Linked DNA regions of Cricetulus griseus. The protein of the gene in region 1 purifies or fractionates together with the protein of each later gene. This does not show direct contact. Links are inferred from orthologs where the notes say so. Each region holds a gene or a part of one and is shown in the gene's direction. Other genes may lie near its edges.

Evidence for each region.
Region 2: the proteins of Vdac2 (region 1) and protein FAM162A fractionate together in Homo sapiens (co-fractionation; 3 studies listed by BioGRID and IntAct, with this or other methods). This does not show direct contact. The link is inferred for Cricetulus griseus from reciprocal best matches to the Homo sapiens genes VDAC2 and FAM162A.

What each region holds. Positions count from the first base shown.
Region 1 is NW_023276807.1:199,147,215-199,155,082, reverse strand, and holds the start of Vdac2 (voltage-dependent anion-selective channel protein 2), read left to right. Parts: upstream 1-3,533; 5' UTR 3,534-3,687; intron 3,688-3,871; 5' UTR 3,872-3,896; coding exon 3,897-3,930; intron 3,931-4,911; coding exon 4,912-4,980; intron 4,981-5,972; coding exon 5,973-6,022; intron 6,023-7,868. UniProt on the Homo sapiens protein: Non-selective voltage-gated ion channel that mediates the transport of anions and cations through the mitochondrion outer membrane and plasma membrane.
Region 2 is NC_048597.1:53,616,669-53,623,834, forward strand, and holds part of protein FAM162A, read left to right. Parts: coding exon 1-114; intron 115-1,856; coding exon 1,857-1,965; intron 1,966-6,875; coding exon 6,876-6,984; intron 6,985-7,166. UniProt on the Homo sapiens protein: Proposed to be involved in regulation of apoptosis; the exact mechanism may differ between cell types/tissues.

The sequences.
Region 1 (7,868 bases):
TATCTATCCTACAACACCCAAGTGACTCCAGCATCTTTGCCAACAAAATGTGCTAGTCCTACTGTTGTGTGGGATGTGACAGTGCAGCCCACACCAATGTCCTTGCCTCAGTCAACCGGTGGACTTCACAGTGGATTCACAGTGAACCTTATGCCCTCTGGTTTTGTCCATGTCCTTCTCTTTCTTTCCCTTTATCCCTTCCTTTCTCTAAGTCTATAACACCATGGGACAATTGGCAAAACTGCTACCCATGTGGAACAAGCTGAAGAGGAGTGGCAAAGCCTCCCTTGGGAGGTATGAATGTTTATGAAAGGTTGACCAGTGTGAAAACTAGCAACTGCACCCTCCTCTTCCCAGATGTCTATAGCTTGAGACCACTGTCTACAGACACCTCCTGCCAAGACTGGCTAATCCCTGCCCCTATGCTGTGCCTAATAACCACGCTGAGATTACAGGTTTGCAGTGGTAGCAATTAGGGAAACCCACCTGGTCCCAGCTTCACTGTACATGTGTTCTTTCTTTATTCCTTCACTGCCCCTAGCCAGAGTTCTTGGACCAAAGCTGCAATGGACATGGCAGATATACATACTTTTTGCATGTGGGTGCATGTACAAATGTGTACACATGCATGTTTCTTCATGGATGGTTCTCTAATTTACTGAACCAGAGTCTCTTGCTAAATCCAGAGCTTGCCAATTTAATCTAGTTTAACTAGCTATCTTGTCCCAGGGATCCCATGTCTGCCTCCTGAGTGATGGGGTTATAGGTGAACTGCCCATCTTTTATGTGGTTCTAGAGATCCGAAGCCTTGATACTAACATTTACACAGCAAGGACTTTATTCAGCCATTTTCCCAGTTCAAGACCTCCATGCAAGTGGGGCCTGGTGGTACGGCCTATAATTTCAGCTCCTTGGGAGGCTGAAGCAGGAAGACGGCAAGCTCAAGGATTGCCTTGGCAACTTAGTGAGAGACCTGGTTTTGTAGGGTTAAAAAAGGGGTGGTAGAGGGCTGGTCTAAACATTAGTTCAATTCCCAGCAATATACTGACAAAACCAAGCCCTTCCTTCTTAGAAAGGTTCTGTCTCCATAGTTAGGGGAGGGGGCACCCGGACAGGCATTTTGGGATACCTACTCATTCTGTTAGATTATACTCTATTTGATCATGTATATTTCTTTTTTTCTTTCTTTCTTTTTTCTTTTTTTTTTTTTTTTCCTGAGACAGGGTTTTTCTGTGGCTTTGGAGGCTGTCCTGGAACTACCTCTTGTGGACCAGGCTAGTCTCGAACTGACAGAGATCCGCACGCCTCTGCCTCCCGAGTGCTGGGACTAAAGGTGTGCGACACCACCGCCTGGCTTGTTCATGTATATTTTTATATGCCTATCCATGCTTCATTCAACCTTAGCGTAAAAATCAATAATCTAAAAAAAAAATCAATAATATATCTTGGGTGTTTGAGTTCTTAAGTTTGGTGGATTGTGTATCATATAAATCCATGATAAATGAGTTATATATTTTTCTTGCTAACCTGCCTTTTATATAGGAGTGTCAGCTGTGTCTTTAATATTGGGAAGGAATCAACTTCTTTTCCACCCCTGCAATTTTTTGCTCAGGCACATGTCTATCTCCAGTGACCATTAAGCACTGCCCACACACTGTACATTTACAGAGTAAAGCCTCAGACTTGTGTCAGAGAAAATGATGTCTTTGGAGATCAAAAATGGCTACATGTTAATTCATAATATGAGTAAGTCCTGCTTTTGGTATGCAAAGGTATCAAACAGCGAGGGCAGGATATCTCCTATTGGCCAGGTCCATTGCAGACCAGCCTGCCTGAGCTTGAATGAAGGGATGAATCAGGTGTTAGAGCCTGATCTCTTAGACACAAAGACTCTTCACATTTAACTCTTTACAACACAGCCTCAGCCATGACCAGGCAAGATTGCTAGTAAACTTGGTTCTGGATTGGCAAAGGCCATCTAGCCATCTTTTCCCAGTTAGGAGGAGAATGAAAACTTGAGTAGAGGAAGAGTTCAGAGATAATTGGGTTGTGAGCATGTACGTGTATGGAGTCTTTGTTGTCAGTCCAACTGAATGCCTATTAAACACTGTTAGAGATGGCTCAGTGGTTAAGAGCCGTGGCTGCTCTTCAAGAGGACCCAGGTTCTATTCCCAGCACCCACATGGCAGCTCACACCTGTCTCTAACTCCAGTTCCAGGGGATCTGGTATCCTTATACCAATGCACATAAAGTTAAATAAGGTATTTAAAAAAAACCAACACTGTTAAACATTACCTTAGAGATGAGGAAACTGAGGTTCACGGCCTAAATTACCTGAGTTTTATTGAATTGAAGCCTCAGTGGTGTCCATTTCTAATCTTCTTTATAGGTGGTGTATGTTTGTGTACAGGTATTCACTCTTATGCCTGAGACCAGAGGATTTTGGATAGTCTCTATTGCTCTTCACCTTACTCCCTTGAGCCAGAATCTGTTACTGAACTTAGAGCATACTGTTTGCTGGCCAGGTGGGCAAAGAACCCCAGCGACCCTCTTGTTGCTCTTTCTGGGGCTACTATTGGCTTTTAATGTGGGGACTGGGTATTGGAACTCAGGTCCTCCTGCTTGCCCAGCAAGAGTTCTTACCCACTGAGCCCTCTCCGAAGGCCCTGTTTCTATCTCTATTAGCTTGAGCATTTCTTCTTTTTTTCCCCCTATTTGCCTCGTGCTGTAGCTTAGCCTCAAACTGGAGGCAATCTCCTGTGCTTCCCATGAACCAGGGCTGGCAGCTTCCTCATTCTTCTTACACAGAATTTGAGAACAGCATTCTAATGACTGGTCAACACGAACCCTACAGTTCTTCCCGTATCTTTCTGGGCCTCTCAACCAGGGAAAGCTTATCTCCCTACTGGAGCATGGCTTCTGCACGAGTGTGAAGCCATCCACATGAGTGGGAAGGAGGCTTTAGGAGCACAAGCCCGAGGCTCTCAGAGTAGAGCCCACTGAAGGTGGCTCAAGTTTGTTCCTCTGGGAGCCCAGCCCCACCTCAGGATGACATCGCAGCGGGCGGTGAACCGATGTAAGAAGGGGATGGAGGCTGCAGATGGCGCAGCGAACCTCACTTCTACTTGCACCTCCCGGGCTCTTAAGCCGCTGTGGAGGCAGTGACTGCCCGCACGTTCCCTTGCTGGGTCACTCAGCACGCAGGCGGAGGGGTGCACGTGACCCCGCGGGCCGCATCGCCCCGCCCGTCGTGACGCGCGTGGCCTCTCCCTTCCTGGCCGCGCGGGTGCCGTTGCACCGCCTCCGCCGTTCCCCGGCCCTCGCTTCTGGGGCTGCCCCGTACACTGCCTGACCCGTGGCCCTCCAGCTCCTTCTCGCCCCGTCCCCACTGGACGGTCCGAGACAGCTCACCCCGGGGGATCACCGTGCCCTCGACCCGCGTGGCCACTCCGGAGTAGGTGCGAGTGGGTGGCGGGCGGCGCGGCAAGGACAGGCGCAGCGGACAGCCCGGGCGGCCGCGGCGGGGTCCTGGCTGGGGGAGGCCAGGCTTGCGGCGGGGCGCAACGGTGTCTCCTTCACTTCGCCCTCCAGCCGCGGTGGCTGCAGCGCAGTCTCTGGGTAGCGGAGCGGCCTCGGCTGGGAGCGGAGCGGCGGCGGCGGCGGCAACGCCCCTCAGGACACCCGCAGGTACTACGTCGCTGGCCTCATGCCGATCCCAGGGGCCTAGGCCGGGCCGGCAGCCACAGCGGACTCGGGGCGGCTCTGCTCCCCTAAGATGGCCGCAGCGGCCCCGGCCCCCTTTCCCTTCTGTCCGAGATCCCCCTTGGGCCCTTTGACCGTCCCCTGATCGCACTTCTTGTCCCTTCTACAGATCTCCTTTTCCCCGAGGCTTCGCTATGGCGGACTGTTGTGTACCGATATGCCCACGGCGTAAGTAGATCATTAGAAGTGTCTTCGGCGGGGCTGCTGTGCCCTTCTTTGGAAAACCATAGCTGGTCCCGCCTCGATTCACATGCTTGCAAGGACTTGGAAAGTTCTCTCCACTTTGTGCGGCCACTAAAGCGTACCGCCGCCTCTGCTGACCGACGTGGGTGCTGGGCTGTTGGGTTGCAGATCGGGGGCTCGCGCCTGGGGCGTTGGTCCTTGGCGGTACCCACCCTCTGCTTTTGGATGTGTCGTTTTACCAACCCGAAAGCAAAACAAAAACTACTAGTTGTTGAATTTCACCCTGGAGGATTAGATGGGCCACTTTGCAAGAGGAAGTAGTTCTCCCTCTGCCCGTAGAGATGGAGTGCACTACAAGGTCATTACACGTGTTCCTAAGGGCGTGGATGTGCTCTTTAGAATGAATGAGCTGCGGCCGGAGCTCAGATTCCTTGCCCTTAAGCCTCACTGCATTGGCGGAGTACTTGGGAGTCGTATTAGTGTGTTTAAAGTGCCATTTGATATTTAGTTGCTGTAGACACTTGACTGAAACATAGATGGTTGTATTTCTCTCCCCTATGTCTCAAGATGTCAGTTCCCAGAGTGTTAAGTGTTGGTTTTGTTCTTGGAAGATATACCAGGTGCTTTGCTAGGGAAAATGCCTAACATTAAATTTTGGTTTTTGTCTTAGTTAAATCAGTCAGTCCACTTGAATTCTGGCAAGTGTGTGTACACTTGTACTAGTGTTTCGAGCAAGGCTGTAGACTTTTAAGTTTAGGAATTAGATAGGCTTGCCCTACCCTATAAAACCAAACTGGGGAACTGTCGCAGGTTTATATTACCACATAGCTATTTAGAAAGTAAACTGTTGTTACAGATGGCTGTTAAGAGTAAAGTGGTATAGTTCTCATTGGTCTGCTTGAATGTAAATATTAGCAGTAGGTCATAGTCCAGTCATGTTAACTATAGAATGTTTCTTTTTACTAGCAATGTGTATCCCTCCATGCTATGCTGACCTTGGCAAAGCTGCCAGAGATATTTTCAACAAAGGATTTGGTAAGGACTTTTCTTTTAATTTTAGCTTAAAAGAGAAAATGTATGCTTGCATCCCTTTAGGACATTGACTTGCTTTTCCAGACTGAATATCCTGCTGGTTTAATGTTTCTGCCAGATGCATTTTATGTTAGACTGCTCCACTGTACCCCAGCTTTTGTTCAGGCCCAAGTTTATGAATTCTAACCTTTTAAGGGAAAAGCTTGTACTTTTGGGTTCTGGGTTTTTTGTTTTTGCTTTTTTTTTTTGTTTGTTTGTTTTTTCCAGATAGGGTTTCTCTATGTAACAGTCCTGACTGTCCTGGACCTCAATTTATAGACCAGGCTGGCCTCGAACTCACTGAGATCTGCCTCCCAAGTGCTGGGATTAAAGGTGTGCACTATCCTGCAAGAAGCTTGTACTTTTATTCTCTTTGGTGACTGAGCAGGCCTTGGTTGAGTAGAGCTGCCCTGAATTACTCTTTTAGTTTTGTGTCTGTGGCTCCTGGTGGAACTGAAACCTTAAGGGGTTGTGGGCTTTTTGAGTGAGTTTGAGTTTTCTTGAAGGTTGTGTTGCACATACCCCTTCTCCCACTCCTTTGGGATAAATGTCCTTAAGGTGTAGTCATCAACAATAGGCTATTCTGCGGAAGTGATTTTTTTTTTTCCTTCCCAGACAGGACTTTTTGGACCCTGTCCTGGAACTTGGCTCTGTAGACCAGGCTGGCCTCAAATTCACAGAGATCCACCTGTCTCTACCTCCCCTGTGCTGGGATTAAAGACATTGTCGATTTTTCTAGTCTCTAACATTTAAAAAGTGTCTTGGAAAGGGTGTGTCAGGAAGTGGAGCCAATTTCCTGCCAGCATGCTGGGCAGCTGACTGCTTTTAAGTGCCTTGCAGGTGCTAGGCATCGGTACATTTTTGTTCCTCTGGACATTTGAATTATTTTAAATGTAACATGAATAATGGGTATATATCTGCAGAATAGTCATGTCTTTGCTCTCTATTCTTTGAAGGCTTTGGGTTGGTAAAGCTGGATGTGAAAACAAAGTCATGCAGCGGTGTGGTAAGTGTCTAATAAGTTCTTGTAACTCTTTTAATTTTATTTTAAGATTTATTTATTTAATGTATAGAATGTTCTGTCTTCATGTATGCCTACAAGCCAGAAGAGGGCATTGGGTCTCATTATGGTTGTGAGCCACCATGTATTTGCTGGGGGTTTGAACCAGGGTCCTCTGGAAGAGTAGTCAATGCTCTTAACCTCTGAGCCATCTCTCCAGCCCCTAATTTCTTAGCCTATAAATGTCTATAGTTGTTTTGCCTTAAGGAGGCAGAAGTTAATTTGTTTTGAGTGATTTGCATGTAATCTGATTTATTAGCTTTGGATATTTCTGCTTTTCATGTAGTTTTGTTATATTTGTGTGTGTGTGTGTGTGTGTGTGTGTGTGTGTGTGTTACTATGATTGTACAAAGAAGTGGGGAAAGACATTGGTTATTTGGGACTATTTACTCAGGTAGATTACAAGCTTGAAGGCCAGAAGCTTATAATCCACGCCCTTGTAACTTTCTCCTAATACCTGCCAAGGTATTCTGGGCTTAATAGTAACTTGTTTATTTGACCATACTGGTCATTTAATATAATGGCTATATTCTAACAGTCATCCATGGAGATGTCTACATACCTCTGTCCTGACCTGAATATTGCTTATGCGTTTATCCTCCCCAGTTGTTGAAACAAGGGATAAAGTAAAATATTGTATGCTTTTTTTTCTTTCTCTAATAATTTTTGTTTTGAGATTCAGAGATGGTTGTATTGTGTACATGCTAAACTATGATTATTGGGCACTGTGATAAATGCATGTTCTGAATATAACTAGTATTAAAGTTGTTCCTGGTAGGGATTCTTAATGGTCAGACCTGTTGCATTTATGGGGTTTTATATTGTTCTGTCCTGTGGTTTCCTTGGTTTGCAAAGAAGCTAAATATTTGGTGATGGTTGACTTGGCTGGGTTAAGAGTTTACAGAATATTAGTTAGCTGATTGCTGGAGATTGAAACTAGAGCCTTGTAGTTCTACTACTAATCTCTATTTTCATCCTACCAGGTTTTAAATATGTTTGTGCAGGTGTGTTACATTAAAATAAGTACCCCATCCTTGTTTTTAAAAAGCTTACTTTTAGACTGGGAGTATAACTTAGTGGTAAAAGGCTTACCCAGTTGTGTATGAGGTCCAGTGCGGAAAACAAACAAAACACCCCCTTCTAGTTACAAAGACAAACTTTAAGCTGAGAACAATTGGAGAACTGTATTGAGCACTAGATTTATAGATTTATAAGCAAAACATCCTTTTTTTCCTCCTGCCTCCCTAGTGCTGGGATTAACAGTGTGCACCACTACCACCACCACCACCACCACCACCACCACCACCACCACCACCCAGTGGCCCTTTTCTTTCTTGAATTGCAGAGATGTTCAGGCTACCCCAAAATGTAGAAGAAGTTCATAGTGATGGAGTGAATTGCTTTATTGTTGGTTTCATCTGTTCCAGTTTGACCTACAGACTAATACTGACCTTGTTTCTTGGGTATTTGTTGGCATTCATTAGACTAGCCCTTGATCTCAGGGACTGATGGGTGGTAGTAGCTGGAGCTTGGCAGTTTCTGATTTTAACTCTGCAGGTATCATAACTTCTGATAAACTTAAAACAAAATTTACATCAATTTTAGACATGGCTTTCCAGTGACTAGGTATGGAGACACTGATACAGAAACCCTAGGTCAGAACTCTTGACAGGCTTCTGGAAGGTTACATTTTATCTTGGGACACGTCCCTCACATGCAGTGAGTGCTTCATAAAGACAGATCCTCTGTGCTCCCTTTTTACCACAAGGGATTGGCAGATATATTCTATACA
Region 2 (7,166 bases), on another chromosome or scaffold:
TTAGGTTATTCGAAAGAAATGCTTCCTTGTCTCTAAGGTCTACCAGGAACACTGACTTGAAGAGGATCAACGGATTTTGCACCAAGTCACAGGAAAGTCCCAAAGCCCCAACCGGTAAGTGTTCACTGCTTAATGCATTTATGGAATATGTAGCCCCCATTCCCACCCCTTAGAATCATTTGGCATCAAAAGAACTTGAAGAGGTAGGCCAGTGTTCCTCCATCATGCTCAGTCTTGTAGAGTTGCCTTCCTTACTGGGCATGCATTGGTTGTGTTCACAGTGCACAATGGTGTCTGTGTATGCGCACCCACGCATGCGCACATACACACACCACAGGTGAACATCAGGTGTCCCCCTCAACCATTCTCCACTTTAGTTTTTGAGGTAGGATCTCTCACTGAATCTGAAGGTCACCCATTTGGCAAGACTGGCTGGCCAGCAAACACCTCTGCCTCCCCGGTGCTATCGTTCTAGGTGTACACATCACCCCTGGCTTTTTTTTTTTTGAAGTGGGTCCTGGAGATTAAACTGGTCTCCTTGTGCCTGACTGAGTCATTTCCCCAACCACATCAAGAGATTATGTCTGGGATCAGATATAATGAGGCTAAATTCTGAGTTTGGGCCCAACGTCAGCCATATCTGTTATATATACCTAAGGTCGAGCTGCCACTGCGGAAACCCACCAGCTGTAACCCACCAGCTTTGCTTGTCTGCAAGCTCCTTCTGGGGGTGCACCTGGGTTCTGCAGGCCATAGTGAATAGAAAGGACTTAAAACATGTTTATTCCTCTCAACCCGATGTTTCTCTTTTCAAGATTCACCATCTGTCCTAAGCAGTAATCACTATATATGGGAAAGGCGGGGAGTGTAAAGATGTTGTGTATATATATTATATATATATATTATATATATATTACACACACACATATATGTCAAATTACATGCAGCTGTTGGCGGTTTCTTATAAACACTGTAATTCTGTGGAATGTTCCATATCTATGAATATATATATATCCAGATGTCAGATTTTATACTGTATGTGAGCGTAAGCCTTATACATGCATATAAAGTGTGTGGTCATACCCACCCAAATTAAAGTATACTGGCCACTCTATAGTAGTGGCATTATGAATTATTTTAATTTTTTGCTTTTTCATATCTGTTCTTGGGACACAGAGGCAAGCAGATCTCTGTGAGCTCCAGGCCAGCCAGGCTTATATTTAAACAAGAACAAAAAGATGTATCCCAAATCCAGTGAATCCCTCAGCTTGGTGTTCAGTGTCTGATAATGTTAATGCAATCTAACCATACAGCCTTTTTCTTACTCTGCTGGAGGAGACGGGCACCCTCTTGTCTTTTCTCGGCACATCTTTCCTCCCTGTCTCTTCTTGTGGTATTCTTTCCACTTTATAGTGGTAGGGCTTCTATTTTGCCCTGTTCCTCATGGTGCTGGGGAATGTCACTTCAAAACAAGGCATTCTGGGGGCTGGAGAGATGGCTCAGAGGTTAGGAGCACTGGCTGTTCTTCCAAAGGCCCTGAGTTCAATTCCCAGCAACCACATGGTGGCTCACAACCCTCCATTATGAGATCTGGTGCCCTCTTCTGGTGTGCAGGTGTGCATGCAGATAAAGCACTTGCATGCATAAAATAAATAAATCCTTTTAAAAAAAGAAAGAAAGAAGCCATTCTGCCCACTCCTATTCACATCACGTGAAGCTCTGGATCAGCCTGAAGTCTCCTGGTGTTTCCATTAACTGAATAACTAAAGGACACAAACAGCATTTTTTTTTTCTGTTGCTTGCTTGATTTAAACATTAAAATCTCAAGCAAGACTGTTACCTGGTTTTCCCTACAGAATCTTACAGACACAGAGTGCCGCTTCACAAACCCACAGACTTCGAGAAGAAGATACTATTGTGGTCAGGGCGCTTCAAGAAGGAGGAAGAAATCCCGGAGACGATCTCGTGAGTGCTGGGAGGGTTGTACTCAGCCCGAGTTTCTCACTGGTCTCTGAAGGGGACCAGTGCATTTGAACTCTGTTTAAAACCTTTTGACCAGATTTAGAAACATTCTTCATTCTCTACATGTTTTCTCATGTTTGGCAATTACCCAGAACAGTCAGTGTTGGAAAGCTGTTAGGGTGTTACCTAGCGACTGATGGACCTGTTCGCTTCTGAAGCCAGCTGATGTTTAGTTACACATCCTCGCTCCAGGAACTTTAAGAGGTGAGGTCTCAGGCCTCAGCCGGGCAGTGGTGGTGCACACCGGTAGTCCCAGAACTCAGGAGCCAGAGGCAGGCAGATCTCTCTGAGTTCAAGGCATCTTGGACTACAGAATGAGTTCCAGGACAGCCAGACAACCCCTGTCCTGAAACTGCCTGCCACCCCCACCCCCCCAGAATCCCACAGCCCTAAAAAGAGGTGAGATCTCATGGGAGCTCCTCAGAGATCCTGGTCCTCCTCATCTTCAGCTCTTTGGCTTCCTTCGAGCTAAGTGTCCCCACCCTCTCAGCAGGATGTTCGACCTCCATAAGCCTCTCCCTTTTCATACACTGCTCACCTCCGATATCCCAGGTAACCAGGAAGAGGTTTCTTCCTCACCTGCCTCCTTAAGCCTCAGCTGGAATCTAGACTGTTTCAGAATTTCTAAGTAATATGTGCAGGTTCCTCTAAGCCAGGGTTTTACAGCCTTAGCTAGCACTGTTGACACTTTGGACTGGAATGTTTTGGGTTTTGTGAACTGCCGTGTGTACTGAAGGATGTTACCAACATCCCTGACGTCTGCCCTCTAGATGCCAGCAGTACTCTCTCCAAGAGTGACCCCAGGCATTGTCAAATGTCCCCTGGGGTCAAATCTATCTCAGGTGGAAGAAGTGTTCAGTCTTGTGCTAAGGACCCTGACTGACCAGAAGTGAAACTCTCTCCCCTGTGGGCATCCTCCTCCTCAGAGTAAGGGATGTTATGCAAGTTCCCTGTCAGCAAGAAACTATTCCTGGGCCTTCTGGCTCTGGGTTCAAGCAGCACATCTTTTCCAGGTAGAAAGGACGCATCTGCTTCTGCCCATAGAGCCCTGCTGCTCTTCCCGGTCACCCCCAGAATTATCTCAGCAGGAAAGCCTTAGTGCTCCTTAACCCTAGTCACAGTGCCCTCTTCTGAGAAATGGGAGTTTACAGGAAATAGCGGGGACACCCTGTTCTTGCTTTTGCCCTGGTTTCTTGATAATGTCCCATCAAAACCAAGATGATCTCTACCTGGAGGGGATGGGCTGTGATTTCTGCTGTTCGGAGTTTGCTGTGGCACACCTTGTCTCCCTTGTCATTGGTTCTAGATCTCTCAGACCCAAAGTACTACCTGGTGAGTCACTCTGGAAAGTTCTTCCCTAGGCTTGGGCAACTGATTGTCTATGCTGGTGGTTGTGAGCAGGTCCTGCTTCTCTTGCCTTTTATTATTATTGTTATCCGAGGAACTCACACATACATATAATGTGTTTTGACTTAATTCAGCCACTGATGTGTGCCCTTCCCTCCAATTTCTACATTTCCCTCCCAACTTCATGGTTTTTATTTTGCTTTTTTTTAAACTAACCTTGCTTCTTTTGAAATGGTTAGCAACTGTCATGGCCATGTTGAAATGTATTTTCCTTTATAAATGGTCTCCTAATGGTATGCCACTACGGGAGGATCACAAGACTTCAGTTGGAGACACCCGTGCACATAAAATCTTGTTGTATTAGTTACTTTTCTATTGCTGTAATAAAACACCATGACCAAGGCAACAACTTACAGAATAAAGAGTTTGCTCTGGGCTTGCAGTTCCAGAGGGTTAGGATCCATAATGGTGAGGACAGCAGGCAGCAGACATGAGACAGGAGCTGTGAGCTGAGAGGTCACATCTCAAACTGTAAGCAGGAAATAGAGAGGGTGAACTGGGAAAGGTGGGAAAGGCATGTGGCTTTTGAGACCTCAAAGCCTGCTCAACAGTTTCACACTTCCTCCAACAGGCCACACTCCCTAATCCTACCCAAACAGTGCCACTGGGAGCCAGGCTGATCCAAGGCTTTCTTAGAGGCCCTGAAGAAAGGACAGAAAGAAGGCTAGTTTTTTGTTCTTGCCCAGGGGCAGCATGGCACGGTCTAGTTCAGGCCCAGGGTCAGGGCCTCAAAGGACTTACAGTTTCAGGTTCCTGGGAACCTGGCTTTGGGCCTGAAGAAACTGGAATTATCAGTCCCAAGACCACTGTATGCTTGGTCTATGATACATTTGAGCCATCCCGTGTTCCTTTTTGTATAATTTTTCTTGATTAGCGTCCTCTGACTTCATCCTATTGTGTGACAGCTTTCTGCTGACTCTGTCCCATCCCCAATCCCCACCACCACCACCACGCACTGCAAACTGTCTATAGTATGCTGTACTTCTTAATAAACTTGCCTTGGCATAAGGCATCAGCTTCTGTAAGACCTCCTTGTCCCTACTTTTCTGGTTTCTTTATTTTCTTATCACCACCCTTCCCCTTAGGAACCTATCATTGAAAATCAGCCTGCTGGTCCAGGTCAACCAAGTATTCAAATGCCCTAGACTAAGGGAAAACATTCTCCTTGCAGCCACCACACAAGTTAAAATGGTTTGGGTTTTTTGTTTTTTGTTTGTTTGTTTGGTTGGTTTGGATTGTTTTTATGGCTAGTGAGTTCTCAGATGATTTTAGTTAAGCAGTTAAGCAGTTCACTATCTTTCGAAGCTGTTCCTGGTTCCTACCATCCTATGGCCCCAGTTTCAGTGCCTGGACTGGAGAGCTCGTCGTACAATCTGCTTTCCAAGTCCCAGTTCTTACATCACACTGTATATGTGACCTCCTCCATGGCAGCCTTTGAAAGCCATTGCTCTTGCTTATTGTAGATGGAAGTTTCTATCCCTCCAGGTCCTGCAGCCGTTTAGTCTCAAACACACAGAGGCCTATAGTAATTATAAACCATTTGGCTGATGGCTCAGGTTTCTGGCTAACTCTCTCTTAATTATTAACCCATAACTATTAATCTGTGTTTCTCCACATGATTTTAGCTTACTGGTGATTCCCGAGCCTCTTGCTCCCTAAGCAGATACATGGTGTCTCCTTTTCTCTGCCTATTGCCTTTCTCTATCCCTGTTTGGATTTTCCTCCTGGCTAAATCCTGCCTTCCCATTGCCCGAAACAGCTTTTTTCATCAACCAATAAGAGAAATATATATTCACAGCATACAGAAGGCCCTCCACCATCAGCTTATATTCAATATTAGATATGCTAAATATTGGGGGGGGGATAGAAAGCATTCCAATCCCTTTTATTTATTTATTTTTCTGAGACAGGGTTTTTCTGTGTAACAACCCTGGCTGTCCTGGGACTCACAGAGATCGCCTGCCTCTGCCTCCTGAGTTCTGTGATTAAAGGCGTGCACCACCACCACCTGGTGTCCAATCCCATTATTTAGAAATAGCCACTTCCTGTGCACACCTACTGGGGAGACCCACTTGGACTCCATGTGTCCTGTCTTGCCCTTCTAGGTACCACAATAGAACCATAACCCACTGCCTTCCTACGGAATCACAAAGATAATAGCCTTCTCTCATTTAATCTTATTACATTTATTCATTTAGTGGCTTGGGATGGTGCTTGTGACACAGCATCTGTGTAGAAATGAAACCGCTTACGGAAGTGTCTCTACCATATAGACCCTAAAAATTGAATTCAGGCCACTGGGCTTGGCTGCAAGCACCTTTACCTACTGGTCCTTCTTGCATACCCAGCCTTCTGTTTAGACTCTTGCACGTTATGCCCCTGTCAAGGCATGTAGGTCATCAGTCAGTGGAAAGGTTAGATAGGCTACATTCTGGGTACTTGCCAAAAAGCATAGGCTCCACTCCACTGTTGCTCAATTTTAGCAAAACCTTCATGACAAGATTAACATTTAAGGGACCATTGTTTAAGGGATTATTTCCCTGGCTCAGGCAACCTCAAATCTGTTTCTGATTTAAGACAGAGAAAAACACTAGATTAGAGGCTGGAAAAATACTCAGATATGCTTGCATTGTTTGAAATAAATCCTAAGGTTTGTTTTTCGACAAAAGTTTCTCTCCATAGCCCTGGCTGTCTTGGAACTTGCTATGTGGAACAGATTGGCCTTGAATTTACAATGATCCTCCTTCCTCTGCCTAGGTTACAGGCCTGAACTATTCCCAGCAAGCATACGTTTTGTTATGAAATGCACTTTTAGATGAGTTGATAAAAATGGAAAGACTTTGAATTAATAACATAGTTTCTAGTCCTCCCTCCCCCAATCAAAAATCAGAGTAATCAGGCTGCAGAGATGGCTCCAGTAGTTAAGGGCACTGGCTGTCCTTCCAGAGAATGGAGGTTCAGTTCCCAGAACCAACATGTGACTTATAACCTTCTGTATCATAGGAGATCCAAATCCTCTTCTGGCCCCTGACTCAGGCACTGCACATAGTGCGTAGACACACATTCAGGCAAAGCACCCATGTGCATAAAGTTTAAAATGGGGGAGACAACTAGATTACACAAAGAATATTAACTCTTCCATGTTTGTTTTCTTTCTGAACTATATTTTTGTTATAACTTGAGCTTATAACAGGACTTTTTGAGAGAAGAATGAGTTCCAGGCCAGCCTGGGCTATAAAGTAAGAAAGACCTTGTCTCCAAAAACAAAAACCAAAGACTTGTGAACTTGACCCACAATCCCCCAAAGTGCTATGAGGTCCCTAGGTCCTAGCTGCTTTGTGTTTACAAACATCACTGAACTTTTAACTTGTGATGCCCAGAACATTTCATCCTGCTGCAGGTTCAGAAAGAAAAAGGTTAATCATGTTTTCTTGTTCCATCACTAGGTTTGAGATGCTTGACGCTGCAAAGAACAAGATCCGGGTGAAGGTCAGCTATTTAATGATTGCCTTGACAGTGGCAGGATGCATCTATATGGTTATTGAGGGCAAGAAGGTAAGAGCCGGCTGCTCTCTGTCTCTGTATGCTGTCCCCAAAGACAGGAAAGCCATGATTGGCTCCTCCAGTTGGTCTGAGAAGGGGTAGCCACTTTGTATCACTTTCCTGACTAAATTCATGCCAGGCTCTTCTGAGTGGTGACCTCATTGTACCTCACAACAGCTTTGCTAGGTGCCAAT